Linked DNA regions of Coturnix japonica. The protein of the gene in region 4 interacts with the protein of the main gene of each other region in a pairwise test. Links are inferred from orthologs where the notes say so. Each region holds a gene or a part of one and is shown on either strand. Other genes may lie near its edges.

Region 1 (4,251 bases), on a different chromosome or scaffold from region 4:
GCTCCCCGAAGAGTGGGATGAAATAACCCTGAGGTTCATCAACAGCTTAAAGGAGAAGAAGAGCGAGGATCACGCCGACGACATCACAGACTCCAGTGTACACATGAGAAGCAGAAGTAGAGCCAATGGCACAGTGTCTATACCACTAGCTTAGGGCTGGTGGACTGTACTGCACGCAGATGTATATTCTGTGAATATAGCTTAAATTTCCTCACTCCTTGTATGCTTAAAAATGCCATTTACTCTGAACTGGGTATGAGTTGTAAGATAAGAGAGCTAGATCTATAATAAATGTTTACATTTATACACTTACCAAGGAAAGGGTGTAAATAACCACAATAAAATGTTTTCTAATTAAAAACAAACAAACAAAACCAAAGGTTTAAGCTTTTGTGTTACTGAACCCAATGATGCTGAGCTTCACCACAAAGCCCAGGAACTTCTGGAGCCTTCTGAACCACCAGCACCTTTGGGAAATGGCAGATCCCATTTCTTACAGCATTTCATTGGTCCGAGCGATTGTTCTTCTCATCCACCACAGTGAAAAACCTTTCAAAAGCCAAAGGAAACCAACCCGGCCTTCTTGTCTTCCCTCTCTTGTCATCATGTAACATAGGGAAGCTGTGACCCAATATACCCAGGATCAGTCACACTTATGGCTGAATGGGCACCACCCTAGATAGGTTTTGGGGTTGATGCATTCATTTACACCAACAGAGAGCTGTAGAGATGTGTTATACTGAAAATCCAGCTCCTGCCAATGCAAACACACAGGGAAAATAAGTACTTATTTCCTTTCAGCATGCGCTGACGTGTGTGTTTTGGCACACAGCCTCATGGCAGCATCTTCAAGCCCAGAACTGGATCCTTCAAGGAACCTCTTTAAATATTCAAGGAAAATAATGTGAAATCCAGGGCTGTCCTGCACAGCCGTGCTGCTGATCAATATAGAATCAGTAAGGCTGGAAAAGCCCTCCCAGATTCCCAAACTCACCCCCCCCCCCATGCCCACTGCCCATGTCCCTCAGTGCCCCATCTCTATGGTCCTTGAACCTCTCCAAGGATGGTGACACCAGCCCTCCCTGGGCAGCTGTGCCACTGCATCGCTGCTCTTTTGAAGAATGAATGTTTCCTAATATCCAACCTGAATCTTGGCTTTGATGTTTTAAGTGATAAACCTCGTTTTACTTCCAGCAATGCCACTACAAGAGCTAAAGCAAGGGTAGGGGTGCTTTTTGTACTCCTGGTGAGGCTCTGGAGATGCTGTGACACTTTGAGTACTCCGAGCATCAAATTTCTTTCCAAAGACTGAAGGTTTAGCAGAAGAACCACTGGTAGAAATGCCTCCAGCTCAACCAGCTGAGGCGGTGCTGCTGAAAGTTGTGTGAAGGTAAAAACAAAGCAGTGGCTGGAGCCGTGTCAATGTTTAACCCTGCTGGGGAGGGCACCTGAGTGCATTTGGCAATGGGATCCCACTCTGGGCTCGGCATTACAGCCCTGCTTTCAGAGCGGGCTTTTCCTTCTTCCCAAGCTCTACAAAATGGGCCTCAGCTCTTCCAAGACGCACCCCAGGGTGACCCAAGTGGCACCGATGCGCAGCAATGAGGAGGTGATGGGGGAGCCCAGCCTGCACCCAACAGCCACAACGGAGCATGGACATCCCATAACCCACGGGCAGCTCCCACCCCTCCGCCAGACCGGGTATGGGAGACCCTCCACAGGTATGGGGAAAGGGGGGGAGGCCTTTCCAAGCAACTGTTTCCCTCCCCAGAGCCTTTGGGGATGGACTCAGAGCTCATCTCACGGCATCCCTGCAGTGCCAGACACAGCATTCATATCGCAACCCCATAACGTGCACCGCTGGGCACAGCCATATCATTACCTTAATTAGAGTTAGACTTTAATTAGATGTGAAATTCGGCATTAAAATAAATCAGAGCCCCACAGCACCAGGCTGACTCCACTAGCAAGAAGCAGAAGAAGGCGAGTCCCACTGCAATGTGCTGCGCCCCAGATGTCCCATACCCAAACCCAGAGGTGAAGGAGAAGGTTTGTGCCCACCCGGAGCTGGGACACAAGGACTGTCTGTGGAGGGACAGCAGGGTGCTGTGACAGCACACAAAGCTTTGGTGTGATAGTGATCTGGGGTCAACAGATTGGGTCTGGGGGTACCACAGCCCCCATCAGGGGACCTCCTGCTTTACTTTTAACACCAACACAATGCCCTCTCCCCTGTCTCCCTGTGCCATTGCCCAGCCCATTATCCCCAAATCCCCTCCTGTGAGGCCGAGATGTGGGAGTTCAATGACTCACATGGAATGGCATTCAGACACCGCAGGGCAGGTCTGGGGAGGACAGAGAAGCTGTAACAGTTACTGTGCATGTCTAATTGTGCAAGCAATAACACAACACTGCACACCCAGGAGGAGCTGCACAGCGCAAAGCTCAGGGCAGGTTGAGCTCAGTTATAGAACTGCCTTAATAAGTAACAGCCCACAGCTCCATCAGGTGCTCAGAGTCCCATCCAGCCTGACCTTGGGCATCTGAAGGGATGGGGCACCACCACCTCTCTGGGAAGAACGCTGGGAGAAATGAGGGTGGGACACACCAAGCAAAAAAATAGGGCAGAAAGAAAGCTATAGTAGAGTACAGCCCAAAAAGTGACTTCGCCTTTCTGACCCCTCAGGGCCCCTTGACTTCAACACTGTGCCGGAGAATGGAGCCAGCAGCATCATCAAGCTGCACCCACCTCGGCGACCACAGGTAGGGTGAATGTATGAAGGTTCACATGGGGCTGCTCTGCTCGGCCAGGGGGCAGGGAAGCAAACAAACATCCTGCTCTCCAACATGGGACGTGAGCAATGCACGATCCGGGCTGCAGCTTGTGGTGTCACATGCTGCCATCTAGTGCCATGTTTTACGGCTTCATGATCAGCTTTGTGATATTTAAGAGATACACGGATGTGGCACTATGGGACATGTTTTATTGGTGGACTTGGTAGTGTTATGTTGATAGTTGGACTTGATGGTCTTAAATCTCTTTCCCAAATAGAGCCTGGGATTCTATGATGTTCCTTTTAATGTTTATGGAAGCCAGGCTGAGCTCCCATCACAGGTGGGGAAATGAGGAGTATATTTGAGATGAGAAGTGAGCCAGTGTTATCTGGGTGGTTGAAGGGAACATCTTAGCTCATTGAGATGGACATCCATTCTCAGAGCAGCCTGTAAAGCTGCTGAACTCCATCAGGAAGGACTCTTCATACCACATGCAAAGTAAGGTCTTAGCCACCAAAAGAGTCTGGCTGGATGGACGGGTTGGTTCTCAGGGCCAGGTAAGCAGGTTCTGGCCTCGTATGTCCTGCCAGGAGATGCTGTATTCAATTATGACACTGATGTGTGTTGCTGAAGGTACCAAACTCCTTTTTGTATCCCAAGCAACCAGACCAGAATTGGAGCTGTAAAAATGTCTAGGTAACTTCATATCAGGTTTGGTGTTTGTGTAGTAGGAGGAATGCTGAACACTAAATATTGCACTTGCAGAGGCTCGAACCTGCCGGCACTCCAAGGGGGGTCACTACTGTAAAGCCCTGGAGCTACCAAGGGATGGATGGAGCCCCAAAAGCCAAGGTGAGCACACAGCAAAGGGCCAAGAGCTGTGCAGCAGGCACAACCTCACCGACCATGTACAGCTCCTGATATCAGCCTGAACAAAGCAGAGCAGCAGCACCTTGGGGGCAGGCACTGGCATACATGACTTTAATGATGAGTTTCCATCGTGCCCCTCAGCTGTGAGATAGATAAACTGTGAGTGCTTTGAAAACCTGCACTAAATTACTGCACGTTAACCAGGCAGGAAAATGCTCACTGCCTTCATCTGAGCAGCACCTGAGGGACTGGGTGTGGGTTGGCAAACAGGAGTTCCTTTTCATTTTAGCCAATGCAGGTGTCTTTACTGATGCTTTTCATACCTCACAGACACTGGACAAGAGGGGGCAGAGCCTGAGAGCCCCCCCTGGCAGGCGGCAGCACTTGCACAAGATGCAGATGCTGGACTTGATGCGCCAGCGCCGAGAGGTAACACAGGGATGGCTCTGGGGAGAGGTGGAGGATTGGAAGGGTTTCCTCATCTCTTTGTCTCCCCTATGGGTGAGGAAGTTCCCATGGGGTCTCGTTCTGTCTTGTGCTTGTTTTGGCAAATATGATTTGCCCTGGTTGAGCTACAGGGTTGTGTGATTACTTGTAGTGCCAGCT
Region 2 (4,208 bases), on a different chromosome or scaffold from region 4:
CAAAACTGAAAGGGAAAACCCAGAATGTAAACTCCTAATCTCAGTTGCTGCCAGCCCATATTGGAGAAATGCTACTGAATTAAGTATTTCTTGCCATGTCTGTAGAGCTTCATATAAACACTGCTTCTCCTCCCAGGGTCTCAGTTCGTTAGAGTGCATCTGAATAACCAGTAACTAACTACGTTATCTTATCTGAATGCAGAGGTTTTTTTACAGCATGTCTCCAAATTCACATAGAAAACAAGTATCTTGCTGATCATTTTATAGGCTGGAACATAGAGGCAAAGTGAGGTGATAACACTCACTGAGCAACATTGCAAAGACATTTCTGGAGTGCAGATCGACTTAAACATCACCAGTAGGGCAATACTTCCAGTTACTCTGAAATAACAATCTGATCTGCTAAATCCTCTGGGTGTTTCTTCTGCACACAGCGCCACTGATGTCAGTAGAAGCACGCACATGACTAAAGCAGGTGGGGTTTTGCTGATAGAAGAAATAATATTTTGCTAGGGGCAGAGATTTGCATTGTAAATTTCCAAGTGGTTACTGAGAATAATGCTGAGATAACCTTTATAACTGCACGATTGAGAGTATTTGTTATGAGTGAATGACTCCATTTACTGTTGAAAACTCAGTCGTCACTGACTTAGAAAACAGTGTGACTGTTTGTGCTGGAAGGCACCGCTGGGGTTGGTACAGTGGAAGTTAAGAGGCTCTGTGATATGGATAGAACTTTGACTGACCTGCAGTGGGGCTCACCATCCCTTGAGAAGGTTTATCCTTTATCCCAAAGCGAGGGCTGTGTTAGTACAATGGTCTTTCTTTTGTGGAGAAGGATCTACAAGAGGTATCAGGATGACATAGAAGGTCTTGCCCTGGAAGGGTTAGTTTTCAACAGGAATATCAAAGACATGCCCCAAGATTTTTGTCTGTTTGTTTTGCAATGGAGCATGCCCCACATAACAAGGATCAGATGCAAGCGCATGATGTTCCTTATCCTGCAATACCGGAGCATAGTGAGGCCTTTCTAGGTACTGGGAGCCCATTCTTAAAGCTATTAGGTTCCACAGAGACATCAGGCATGCCCTGCTGTATCCATTTCCTACCGAAGTTTGTGAGCTTCTGAGCAAAGCAGTCAGGAAAATTCAAAGACTTTGGCTTCTAAAACTGCAATTATAGTAGCACTGAGTTGAAGATGAGTAACAGTATCAAGATCTGAGATATTAACTTCCCATGGAGAAGGAAATGCAAATTGTCAGCTGCTCTAAAACAGCACTAGAAGGAACTCAGGGTGTATTGCTTTTCATCTTGCTTTTGCAAGAGGATATTGGGAGGATTTGAGGTTACCAGATCCTCACCTTGTTGACCATTGTGAGTGGGGAAAAGGAAAGCTTGCTTCCTTATTTAGGTATCTATTCAAATGCAGAGGATGAGTCTACTTCTTCCAAGGAGTGTGAGTACAGCTGAGAAGTTTCACTTCCTTGAGAATTCTGGAGGCTGCAATGGTATCAGCTCAGTGGAGGGATACCAGTTCTCTGACCAGACTCTCAGTTCTCAGGTTCCAGAGCATCAGTTTCATATGGTCTATCAAGCATTAAATTCTCCAGGCAATACAAGGAAGGCATCTATGGAAGAATCAGGTGACTGTATGGGTCCTGGTTCAGGGCAGTACCAGAATGAGAAGTAAGTTCATAGAATCATAGAATGGCCTGGGTTGAAAAGGATCACAATGACCACCTAGTTCCAACCCCGCTGCTATGTGCAGGATTGCCAGCCACTAGACCAGGCTGTCCAGAGCCACAAAGGAAACAGAACACATAACTGAGGTGGTTCAGAAGTGGTCTGCCTGTTTATAAAGTCAGTTTTAGAGTGCTGCTCCCCTTTTGGTACCATATGAATTGGCAGGGCAACTAAAAAATGGATTCATGAGTACTAGATCCCCAGGGTTAAGTCTGCAGATAGTGGTTCTGTTTTGGGGCAGTTTAAGGGGACATCAGATGGGTGCAAGATGCAATGGCATCTTGGGGATGGATTTAAAAGCACCAAGGAGGCTGGGCTCAGCCATATCTGTTGCTCTGGGAACTTGTCTTGACTTGAAATTGCCTTGGGACAGCTCAGGGAGCTCCTGTGGATGAGGTTAGGGGAAGCAAGTGGATTCAGAGAGTTCATTCCCCCCCCCAGGAGTGAGTGAGCTCAGCAGGCAGCTGTTGGCTTAGAGAAAAACCAGCTTCCCTGGGCAAAGAGTTCAGTGGTTTTCAGCTCCCTTGGGTGAGTTTATAAGGATCTCAAGCCCTTTGAGAGTCAGTTTGGTGGATATCCTGAGGGGCATCAGGTGAGCTGGGGTGTCAGGTTATCCACAGGATACCAGCTCCCCCAGGGATTTCAGATTAATTGAGGAAGTACCCAACCTCTTGTGGGGATTAGGAGGTGATCTGGGCAAACCACAAGCTGACTAGGGTAGGCCTCTGAGAAGATATAAGGTGAATGTGGAGATACCAGGTCCACTGGGGAGTTAGAGGAGGGTCTGAGACAGTACCAGGTTCCCTGGGAGCGTGAACAAGGACACCAGGATCCCCAAGGAACCACGGGTCAGTGAAAGTCCCCCATAGCATCTGGGCTGTGCAGAAGCCTCACAGGGCTCCTCCAGCAAGGGCTACCTTCAAGACCAGGCGGGGGCTGGGGGTACCGATGCTGAGGGGTCCCGAGAGCTGGGCTGAGCAGGGGCTGCGCTCACCGTGGGGTCCCTGAAGGAGCAGCCCGGGAGGAAGGGCAGACCCGGCCTCGGCTCCGAGCTCATGGCGGCTGCTTTCACCTCCCAGCTCCCAGCGACGCTGTCTCTATGGCAATCACCAGGCCCCGCCTAATACGCACGTTCAATAGACTAACGGCGGCTGCGGCCTTGTCCCGGCTAAGGGCCCTGAGGGGCTGGGCCTCGGCTGTCACCACCCCCGTTGTGTGTAAAAGCAGCTGCCTTGAGGCTGTGGAAAGTGTTCCTCCTCGTATTTCTTTCCCTGTTGCAGGATGTAGTTGTGCTGCTCTCACAGCTGGGCCTGTGTATGTGAGACTGAAAACATGTCCAGGCTGTGGGCGGCCTGCCCTCCTCATAGAGAAAAGTAGCTGTGAGACTCTACCCAAGTTCTCAAAATACCCCACAGGAGAAGAGGTTGTGCTTATTAACCATGTTATATATATATATATATATATATATATATACACATTAGCTGTGGAATAGCCAGTTATAACACTGACACAGATCCCCCACAGTGTGAGATTTCACGTATAGGAAGGAGGAAAGCCTTTAAATGTAAAGATCCTGTGGGAAAGTTGCTCTTAAATGTAACAGATAAGGAGAGTCACGTCGATCACCAAGGAGAAAAGAGGGTTTTGTGTTTCTTCTTCCCTTTAGTGCCTTTATGTTGGTGTGTAAGACAGAGCAGGCTGTGATTCATGGGCAGGCAGCAGGATCTGAGTCTGTAAGCAGAAGTCAAGCAGGAACACAGAGAGACTAAAAGCAGCAGGGAGAGATAAAGGTGTCTGATGGGCTCAGAAAGGGAAATAATAACTTGAAGGCCAAGCAGGGTTGAAAGGCAGCAAGCAGACAGTGAGGAACTGGCTTGGATGTGGGTGTTGTTGGGGCTTAAGCAGTCTGTCTGATTGCTCCTGGTGTGGGATCCAGCCATCATTCAGCAGGTATCCTGAGCACAAGGGCCAGTACCTTCCTAAGGGAAGGAAACTTGCCTTTTTGGCTCCAGATATGAGCAGGGACTGGATCGGAACACTTCACTTCCTCTGAGTGTTTGAAGGCAGATGGGGATGTATGATTTAGGAAGACCATGGAAGAAAGGGGCATCTTTGACAGCAAATTCTGTACGTGCAAATCAGTCTTGGCAAGGCTAAGACAAGGCTTGCATCTCTACAACTCCTGAAAAGCAAAAGGATTGGTGTTTTCTGTATCAAGATCTAGCTCTCCTCTGCTTAAACCTCATGTATTTTGGAGGAAAGGCTGTGCTGTTATGTGTATTTACACCACTGTAATGCATAGCAATAAATAAGCCCAACCTGTGAATCCCCGTGCTACAGGAATAGTTGATGTTTCAGTATGCCCTATCTGTGCTCCGAGGGATCCAAGGACTAATTACAAAGGGTTTGTTAAAGAACACTTTGAAGCCCAGGCTTGCTGATAGTAGGCTGAAACGTGATACTCT
Region 3 (4,256 bases), on a different chromosome or scaffold from region 4:
TATTGCCTTCCTACTTCCATAAAGAAATACAAGATATACTTAAAAACAACAGGTTGGTAACAGACCTAATATGGAAATATTCCTTAGTAACTGCATCAAGAGGATTGTGAGCCTGGGATACTCAACTGATGAGTAATTAGGAGAGAGAACTGTGTTGAGAGGATGGGTATATCACAGTGTGTATTTTACCAACAAGGTGCGTGTTTTCTGTCTTGCCATAAGAGAGTGTGCCTCTGCCACTGCTATTGCAAATCAAACATGCTGCTTCACTTAGGTTCTTGCTGGAGTCAAACTTACTGACTGGAGTGTTTCTCACACTTGTTTGCAAAGACATCTCCCAGATCATTCCCTAATGTTTGCGTGCTTCTCACTGATGTGGTGACTTTGTTGTTTTTCCTGCTGAACGGCAGAAATTTAAGAACTATTAAGTGCTTTCCCCACAGTTGTGCAATGTCAGGTCCCAGAGGCACACAGACTGGTGCGTGTTGTTAACCCCATGGAAAGTATGAGTGGTCCCACTCACCACAGCTCATCCCAGTCTGCACAGAACTTAGCACCAAAGGGTGCGTGCTGCGAATGCAAACAACCTTTTCCTGAAATACAGGCCATGCAGGGTCACAGAGCCACGCACCATGACGCTGGCAGGGCGCTGCCCATTGTGGTCAATGCTGAGGGCAAATTAACATCATGGACCCGTACAATTGTTTGAGTTGGATAAGACCATTAAAGGTCACGTAGTCTAACCTGCCGGCAATGAACAGGGACACCCACAGGTGCTCAGAGCCTGGTCCAGCCTGACCTAGGACGTCTCCAAGGATGGTGCATCCACCATCTCTCTGGGCAACCTGCTCCAGAGCCTCACCACCCTTACTGTACAAAACTGCTTCCTTACATCCTTATCCATATCTCCCCTCTAAGTCTGAAATAATCTCCCCTTGTCCTGTCACAACAGACCCTGCTGAAAAGTCTTTCTCACAGCCCCCTTCCGCGTTAAGAAAGGGGGACGATTTTTTCACATGAAGAAACTCCGGTTTGTTTCTTCTTTAGGCTGTGGATGTGGAGATGCACGCTGGGCCACATCTAGAGCGTGCTTCACCCTACATCGCCGCCCTGAGACAGCACTCGGGGCTCTGCGGCCGCCACCTGAGCGGCGGTTGTGTCTCTGACGGCCGTTGTGTCTCTCCCGGCAGTTATACCCCCCGCCCCGTGTTCCCATCACGCTGACAGGGCCGCACCGCCCCCTCCCGATAACGGCCGCACTAACGGCCTCACTGGCGCCGCTCGATCCCTCCGCCAGGGGCGCGCTCCGCCCCGTCTCTCCCCGCTTGACCCGCGCGAGGCGCCGTAGCTCGAACGGGACCGCGGGCGGGCGGTCCGGGGGCGGCGGGATGCGGGTGGCGGCGCGGCCGTTGGGGGCGGCTGCTGGGCGGCGCGGGCGGGCGGACGCTCGGCCCGGAACGGCCGCGGTGCCGGGAGGGCGATCCCCCGCTTCTGGCCGAGGCCGGCGAGCGCGGAGCCGCCCCCTTCGCCGCCGCCGCTGAGGGAGCGGCCCCCGCCTCCGCCCCGCCCGCGGGGGCGGCTCGCACGGCGGCCCCTCCTCGGGGAGGCCGGCTGCATGGGCGAGCGCTGCGGGACGCCGAGGTCGCCGGCCTCGCCGCTGCCGGGCGCCAGGTAGGCGAAGCTGCGGGCGGAGCGGGGCTCGGGGTCGCGGTGGTGGGAGGCTCCGCCGTCCCTCAGCTCGCTCCTTCTCCGTCGTCCCCCCGCCCCCATTTCGCACGGAAGCCGGGAGGGTGATTTGCCGCAGGCTTTGCCCCGGTGTCTCCGGCCGGCTCCGGGGGTGTGTGGCGGGGAGGGATTTGGCTGGAGCTCAGCATCAGTTCCTCGAGCCCCTCGATGAGCGGAGCAGCGGGGATGGGGGCTGTCACGTACCTTTATTACCGGGTATCGCCCGTTCCCTGTGCACACCTAAAGCGGAGCTCAATTTGTGGGAGTTAAAAAGTCCCTCACATTTATTCTCTGCGCTTAATAACCGAGTGCGGCATTGTGCTGCTGGGCTGCAGAGCCCGAGGTGGGGCCAACGTGTCTCGAGCGAAAGCAAGGGGCTGATGGACAGACCTCATAGCGACTGATAGCGGAGCGCTACCAGAGGGTAGCCGTCTGCTGGTTCGAATTGCTTTAAATCTGCTAATTGATAGTAAAGGAAGGATAATCTTTTGTGAAAGCCTCTGAGAAGGAATAATTCTGCAGCCACCCTCGTTATTAGATCTTTCATTTGGCATTTCTTGCAAATAATGAAGCTTAAAAAATCTTGCAGATATCTTACTGACCCTCGAGTGCATCTTTCAGTTTAGGTTACTGCTGATTTGATCCTCTGGAATCTGCAGAAGGAAGGTCAGCCAGCCGCTGTGAATAGCCGAGTAACAGGAGTGGAGCTCTGGAGCAGGATTGCCGAGAGATGTGTGAACACGCATAAGCACAGCTGAGCTGTCGAGTATTTCTGCCTCAGACCTGGGCTTGTTCCCCAGGCACGGTTTGCGTGGGGTGTAAGTGTCTCCTGATACCTGGAGATGATGTCGGTTGAAGGGTCTACAATAACAAGTCGGATCAAAAACCTCCTTCGCTCCCCTTCCATTAAGCTGAGAAGAAGCAAGCCTGGGAGCAAGCGTGAAGATATAGGCAATAAGGTGAGTGTTGCTTGGTGATACCAGCTTGCTTTAACTTTGTTACCTGCAGTCCCATCTGTACTGAAAATACCTCTGTGGGAGACCTGGGGCGACCAGAGTATCTGATACATGCCTTTTAGTTGGGAGCTTTGGGCAGGGTCTATTCATGCTGGATGTGACTGGAAGTACCCAGTCTGAAGTCATGGTGTATTGGAAAGCATTTAGGTTTTTCCTCATTCTAGCATATGGAGTTGTTATGGATGACTGGCAGGAGGAATGTAATGCTGTCCCTTCCTCCATGTTCCCAACTGCAATCTGGTGTTACAGGCAACTAACAAGAAACAGAGACCTGTTTTTCCATGTAAGCCATGTCTCTTTGCTCCACAAAGGTGTGTTCTTTGAGCACCTGGGGAAGGGTGGGATGCTCTGAAAGATGAGATTTGTGTCTCTGAAGTGACTGTTCAGATGGGGGTTTGCATTCTGCCATCCTGAATGTGCTTTTCTTCCATCTTTTTTCTCTGCTTTGATTCAGACTAAGCTCTCCCTTCTCTAGGGGGCGCTTAGTTTGAGGTGTAGTTGATCCTGTATAAAAAATTGTGGCTCCTCTTGGTGTTGCAGAGGATTCCTGACAGACAGTCACTGTTGTCATGAGGAGAGGAGGATGACTTCTCTCCAGCTGTGGGTAGAAGAGGAGCTGGGTGGCATTTCCTTATGCTGACAGCAGGCACATCTGAGTCAGGGCACCTGGTTTTGTCCCTGCCACTGATTCATTTGTAACCCCGGGCAAATCACCCAGTGCTTGCATTGCTCCATCTCCATAAATAGAAAGATTAATCCCTCCCCAGTAATAAATAAGAAATGCTTATAATACGTGAATGCAAAGTGCATTTGTTTGTCTCAGGACAGTAGTGCTTGGGACGTTAGCCGCTGGAGTAAGGGATGTATGTAAAACTGCAGGGGAAAGAGAAAACTCTGTTTAAAGGGCCTGTCCCAGCACGAAACCCTGCTCTTGATGCTCTGCTTCTGATTGGAAGTTCCTGGAGATGGCTCTTTTTTACTGAGGCGCACCATGACGTCCTCTCTTGCCACAAAAGAGCTGTCTAGAGGAGAGTCCTTGGTGCTTGTGCCTGGCCTCAGTGTGTGCATGTGCATGCATGCACTGCATGTAATGCAGCCTGGGTGCTGCCAGTGAAACCTGCTTTTTGCCTGTTGCTGAAGAGCAGGTAGTTGACCTGTACTGTAGGAACAGCCCAAAGCCTCCATACTACCATGTACAGGGGCTCTGGGCTCCAGCTCTGTGATAAGGAGCCAAGTTCAGCCTGCTCAGTTTCAGAACTGGGGCTGCTGCTATAAATCCCAGGCCTTCTCTGGTACCTGATTGTTTTTGTTGTTGTTGTTCTGCCTTGCACATATGTTTTGGAAGAGCTCCACTGTATCAGTTCTGCAGTCAGGGCTGTCTTGACTCCCTGGGGACTGATGGATAAATTCCACACTATGAAATTAGGGTTTAAGGGCTGGGTTTTGTGTCTTAGTAGTGTGAGCAGTTAATCAGGGAGTTGGCCGGTAAAAGCAATTCCTCTTGATGAGGTGTTA
Region 4 (3,500 bases):
CCTGCCTGTTAGAAGTAAAATATTTACATTATATACAATTTAGCTTTAAGAAAATGAATCATTACATACAGGGAAATCTATCTTTCCTATAGGAGATTTTTCTAAAGACCCAACAGACACTTTGTTGCTGCTCTATGAATTTGAAGCAAGATCCAAGCTTAATGATCCTACACTCAATAACTTCATGGAGTCAGTATGGGAGCAACCACACGAGATCAAGACACTAGAAATCATTGCATGTAAGGGCTGTATTTGGACTTGCATAGTTCTTCAAGTCATGAGAATCAGCTTATGTTGCTCTTTCCTGTACATTTGAGGTTACTGGGATTATTGTGTATGGTATGGAATGCAGAAAATGAGCTTAATATTGTGTCCCAAAACAAAGACACTTAGGATCTTGGCCGTAATAGGAGATCTACACTTTGAAATGTCACTGCATTACATGGATGATGAACCAGTAATCTGTGATGTCCTTTAATTCCTGTTCTTCTGCTTGTAGTCCTCACTAATGAGTCTACAACAAAGAAGATAGTAGAGAAGCGCTGGCTTGTGACCAGCCCAGGCACCAAGCAAATGCTGACCATGACTAAATGCTAGCTCCAGTCATTTCTTTCTTCTCCATTTAATTAATTTTTAACATTTATTTTATTTTATAGCATTAGCAATGGAACCTCCAGCTCGGTATCCTGTACTGTGTAAGAAAGCTCTGAAGAGTGCACTAAACCTGTACAGAAAGCAAACTACCACTGATGCTGGGAAATTTAGGTTAGTGTTATCACAGAAGTTTGCCATGAGCCCATGGTTTGAACTGTGATAGGGAATAAAACCTTCTGGGAAAAGTGGGTTTTAGCTTATGTTTAAGCTTCCTCTAATTGCTGGCCAACCAATCTACCACTGAAGTGTGACCATCTAACAGGTGTGTTAACTGCAACCTATTTGCTAGGCATGTTTTCTGAAAGTCATATTTACAATAACTGAATCTATTGAGGAAGAAAAGTGGTCTAGAAAGTGTTTCTGTCTGTTTCTTGTTATAGAATTTTTTGTTCCAAATGCTTTTCTGCAGCACTGAAGTAGTGAACTAGAAAATTAAGACAAATTAAAGGCTAAGAAGAAAGCCATGAGGTGTAAGTTAGCAGTAAGATGCTGTAACACATGCACAATGTATTCTACCAGGTAACCAGCTCTGTAACAGCTGTAGCTTGTGGAAACTGAAAAACAACCTGGCGTGTCCTTCTTTCTCAGTTCTGTCTCATAGTGGATGTTTTTTTTCCTTTGTACTAAGTTCTGTGCTGCACCCAGCGGGCAGAGGCAGCCATTGCTTCTCTCTTTCTCTTTTCACACTGGGAAAGAAAGACCTGTTTTCAGAAGCTGTGTATTTGTTACTGGTTTTCTGAGGATGCTGAGTACTAAGCTCTTGTTGGTGAAATGAGAAAAGATCTTCTCTTTTTCCTTGCTGTCATGCATAGCATCCCATGAAAATGCTGCAAGCCCAGCAATTAAAATACAGAAGTACTGCTGCTATTGGGTCTCTTTTTGCACAGCTTGTGTGAGTGAGCTCTGATGCTAGGAATGTGTATGCTCTGCCGTACAGATACGAATGCAGTAAGCACAGAGGTGGAGGTATCAGGATGGCAATCAGAGCGGCACAAGTTAATGTGCTGTTGGTGCCAAAATGTAGTGGTTTGCCCTGTGCTCATGGTATTTAATATTTCCTCTTTCACTCTGTTTTGATTCCCAGCAAATGCTTACATAGTTTGATTAATCTTTCTTTGCCAACTGGAGTGATGGACTTGGATGCCTGTGTACTGCAGGAGGTGTGGGGCTACTTTGAAGATGCTCTGAGTGTAGTCAGCAGCACAGTAAGTTGAGCAGGAAAACAAGGGGCTGGGAAATGATTCTGAGCACATTTAAAACATTTTTTTTTTTTCCCATCAAATTGAGAATAATTAGTAGGTAAAACATTAGACAGTGTTATATATGAAGCAGCCGAGACTTCTTCAGTAAAAGATGCACCTCAGTATAAACGGTTTGTGGATATTTATAACTGCACTATGATTTTTTCTTCATTTTGTAAGGGCTTCTTTAGAGATATTTAAGGCCAAGTTTCAATGAAGTATGTGATAACTCTGAAAGAATTGTCCCTTACGTAGGGGGAAAAAAAAGCATCACTGTTCTCCTATTCTGTTCGCTACTCCAGGGTAGTTACCCAGAGATGGAGATCCTTTGGTTGATGACAAGAGCCTGGAACACAGGAATATTTCAGTATACCATTGGTAAATATCAGGAAGCAGAGCAGTGGTGTGGATTAGGAATGCGTTTCCTCAATCATTTAGGATCCCTGAAGAAAAGCTATGAGGGCCATGTAAGTGTAAGCAAATGGAAATAAGAATGAAAGTGGGTGTCTGGGCTGAATGTGGTCAGTTGTGGAGGGGAGGAAGTGAGATTTTGTTGTGAGGGTGTGGATCTGAGTGAAGAAACCATTACTGGTGGCTTAAAGGTTTTCAGGAGCAGCTTGACACCTGCACAGAATTATAGAATGGCTTGGGTTGGAAAGGACCTCAAGGGTCATGAAGCCCCACATGCAGGGCCACCATCCTCCATATCTAATACTAAACCAGGCTGCCCTGGGCTTCATCCGACCTGGCCTTGCATATTTTGAGGGAACCAAAATTGATTTTTTCCAAGTCAGGCCAGAATAGGTTTGATGCACAGCAGAAGGAGTAATGCAGAGTCATTTTACTGACAGGACTGCACAGCTGGCTGAGTGGAACTAGATGTGAGGCTAGTTGTGACCATTCCTTGTACCTTGCCTGATCTCACTGAGGGCAGGGTGCTGTACCAGTTTCCTTAAATCACCTGTTGCATGAATATTTTCAAGCTTGTTCTTTAGTCTGTGGGGGAGAAATTTCACAGCTACAGCCTCTGCAGAAAGCAGCAATGCTTCTTCTTACATCAAGTAAGCTGCTCTCTGCAGTGTTTTGGCTGGTACTCCTGTCTTGATTGCAGCACAGTACAGCCTGGCTGCTGTGTGTAGTCATGGTTTATTCTCTTACGTACAAGACAATCAATCAGGAGCTGGTTGCAACCTTTGTATTATTTTAAGCACATCGGTTAATGCTGGCGAACCTGAAGGCAAAAGGTCAATGAGCTCAAACAACCACACACCAATATAGTTAAATATAGCTGCGTCCATTTATTGCCCGAAAAGCCATACTTTTATAGCAGACAGACAAGGGCGTCCAAAAATCACACACGCTAATTGGAGGAAAGCTACTGCAATAACAACCCTAAAACCCCCCTTCAAAGCCACGAGCCATTCATTCTTTTCCTAGAGGTGTCCTTGGTTCTCATGCTGTTTATCCTGCTCCGCAGCTGCTGCTCTGTGAAGTCCTTATCTTGATCCATGGCTGCTGCTCTGTAAAATTCTTCTTGTATTACAACAGGCTAGTACAATAAGAGCAGGTTTATTAATTGATATAAAACTCAGCCATAAGCTGTGC

Evidence for each region. The genes of interacting proteins can lie anywhere in the genome.
Region 1: the proteins of TEX11 (region 4) and CCDC198 interact in binary tests that used the Homo sapiens proteins (3 or more experiments, as listed by UniProt). The two-hybrid records come from large-scale screens. The link is inferred for Coturnix japonica from reciprocal best matches to the Homo sapiens genes TEX11 and CCDC198.
Region 2: the proteins of TEX11 (region 4) and EFHC1 interact in binary tests that used the Homo sapiens proteins (3 or more experiments, as listed by UniProt). The two-hybrid records come from large-scale screens. The link is inferred for Coturnix japonica from reciprocal best matches to the Homo sapiens genes TEX11 and EFHC1.
Region 3: the proteins of TEX11 (region 4) and MAPKBP1 interact in binary tests that used the Homo sapiens proteins (3 or more experiments, as listed by UniProt). The two-hybrid records come from large-scale screens. The link is inferred for Coturnix japonica from reciprocal best matches to the Homo sapiens genes TEX11 and MAPKBP1.

What each region holds. Positions count from the first base shown.
Region 1 is NC_029520.1:50,440,252-50,444,502, forward strand, and holds the start of CCDC198 (uncharacterized protein CCDC198), read left to right. Parts: upstream 1-1,451; 5' UTR 1,452-1,540; coding exon 1,541-1,721; intron 1,722-2,686; coding exon 2,687-2,763; intron 2,764-3,540; coding exon 3,541-3,627; intron 3,628-3,975; coding exon 3,976-4,074; intron 4,075-4,251. Other genes in the region: SLC35F4 (solute carrier family 35 member F4), read left to right, coding at 1-154. UniProt on the Homo sapiens protein: May be involved in tuning the metabolism, energy expenditure, and excretion processes.
Region 2 is NC_029518.1:98,073,305-98,077,512, forward strand, and holds the start of EFHC1 (EF-hand domain-containing protein 1), read right to left. Parts: upstream 2,801-4,208; coding exon 2,738-2,800; intron 1,637-2,737; exon of another isoform or gene 1,374-1,636; coding exon of another isoform or gene 1,362-1,373; intron 1-1,361. UniProt on the Homo sapiens protein: Microtubule inner protein (MIP) part of the dynein-decorated doublet microtubules (DMTs) in cilia axoneme, which is required for motile cilia beating.
Region 3 is NC_029520.1:22,413,099-22,417,354, forward strand, and holds the start of MAPKBP1 (mitogen-activated protein kinase-binding protein 1), read left to right. Parts: upstream 1-1,456; 5' UTR 1,457-1,671; intron 1,672-2,346; 5' UTR 2,347-2,567; coding exon 2,568-2,684; intron 2,685-4,256. UniProt on the Homo sapiens protein: Negative regulator of NOD2 function. It down-regulates NOD2-induced processes such as activation of NF-kappa-B signaling, IL8 secretion and antibacterial response. Involved in JNK signaling pathway.
Region 4 is NC_029519.1:2,416,683-2,420,182, forward strand, and holds part of TEX11 (testis-expressed protein 11), read left to right. Parts: intron 1-92; coding exon 93-239; intron 240-656; coding exon 657-765; intron 766-1,738; coding exon 1,739-1,859; intron 1,860-2,197; coding exon 2,198-2,362; intron 2,363-3,500. UniProt on the Homo sapiens protein: Regulator of crossing-over during meiosis. Involved in initiation and/or maintenance of chromosome synapsis and formation of crossovers.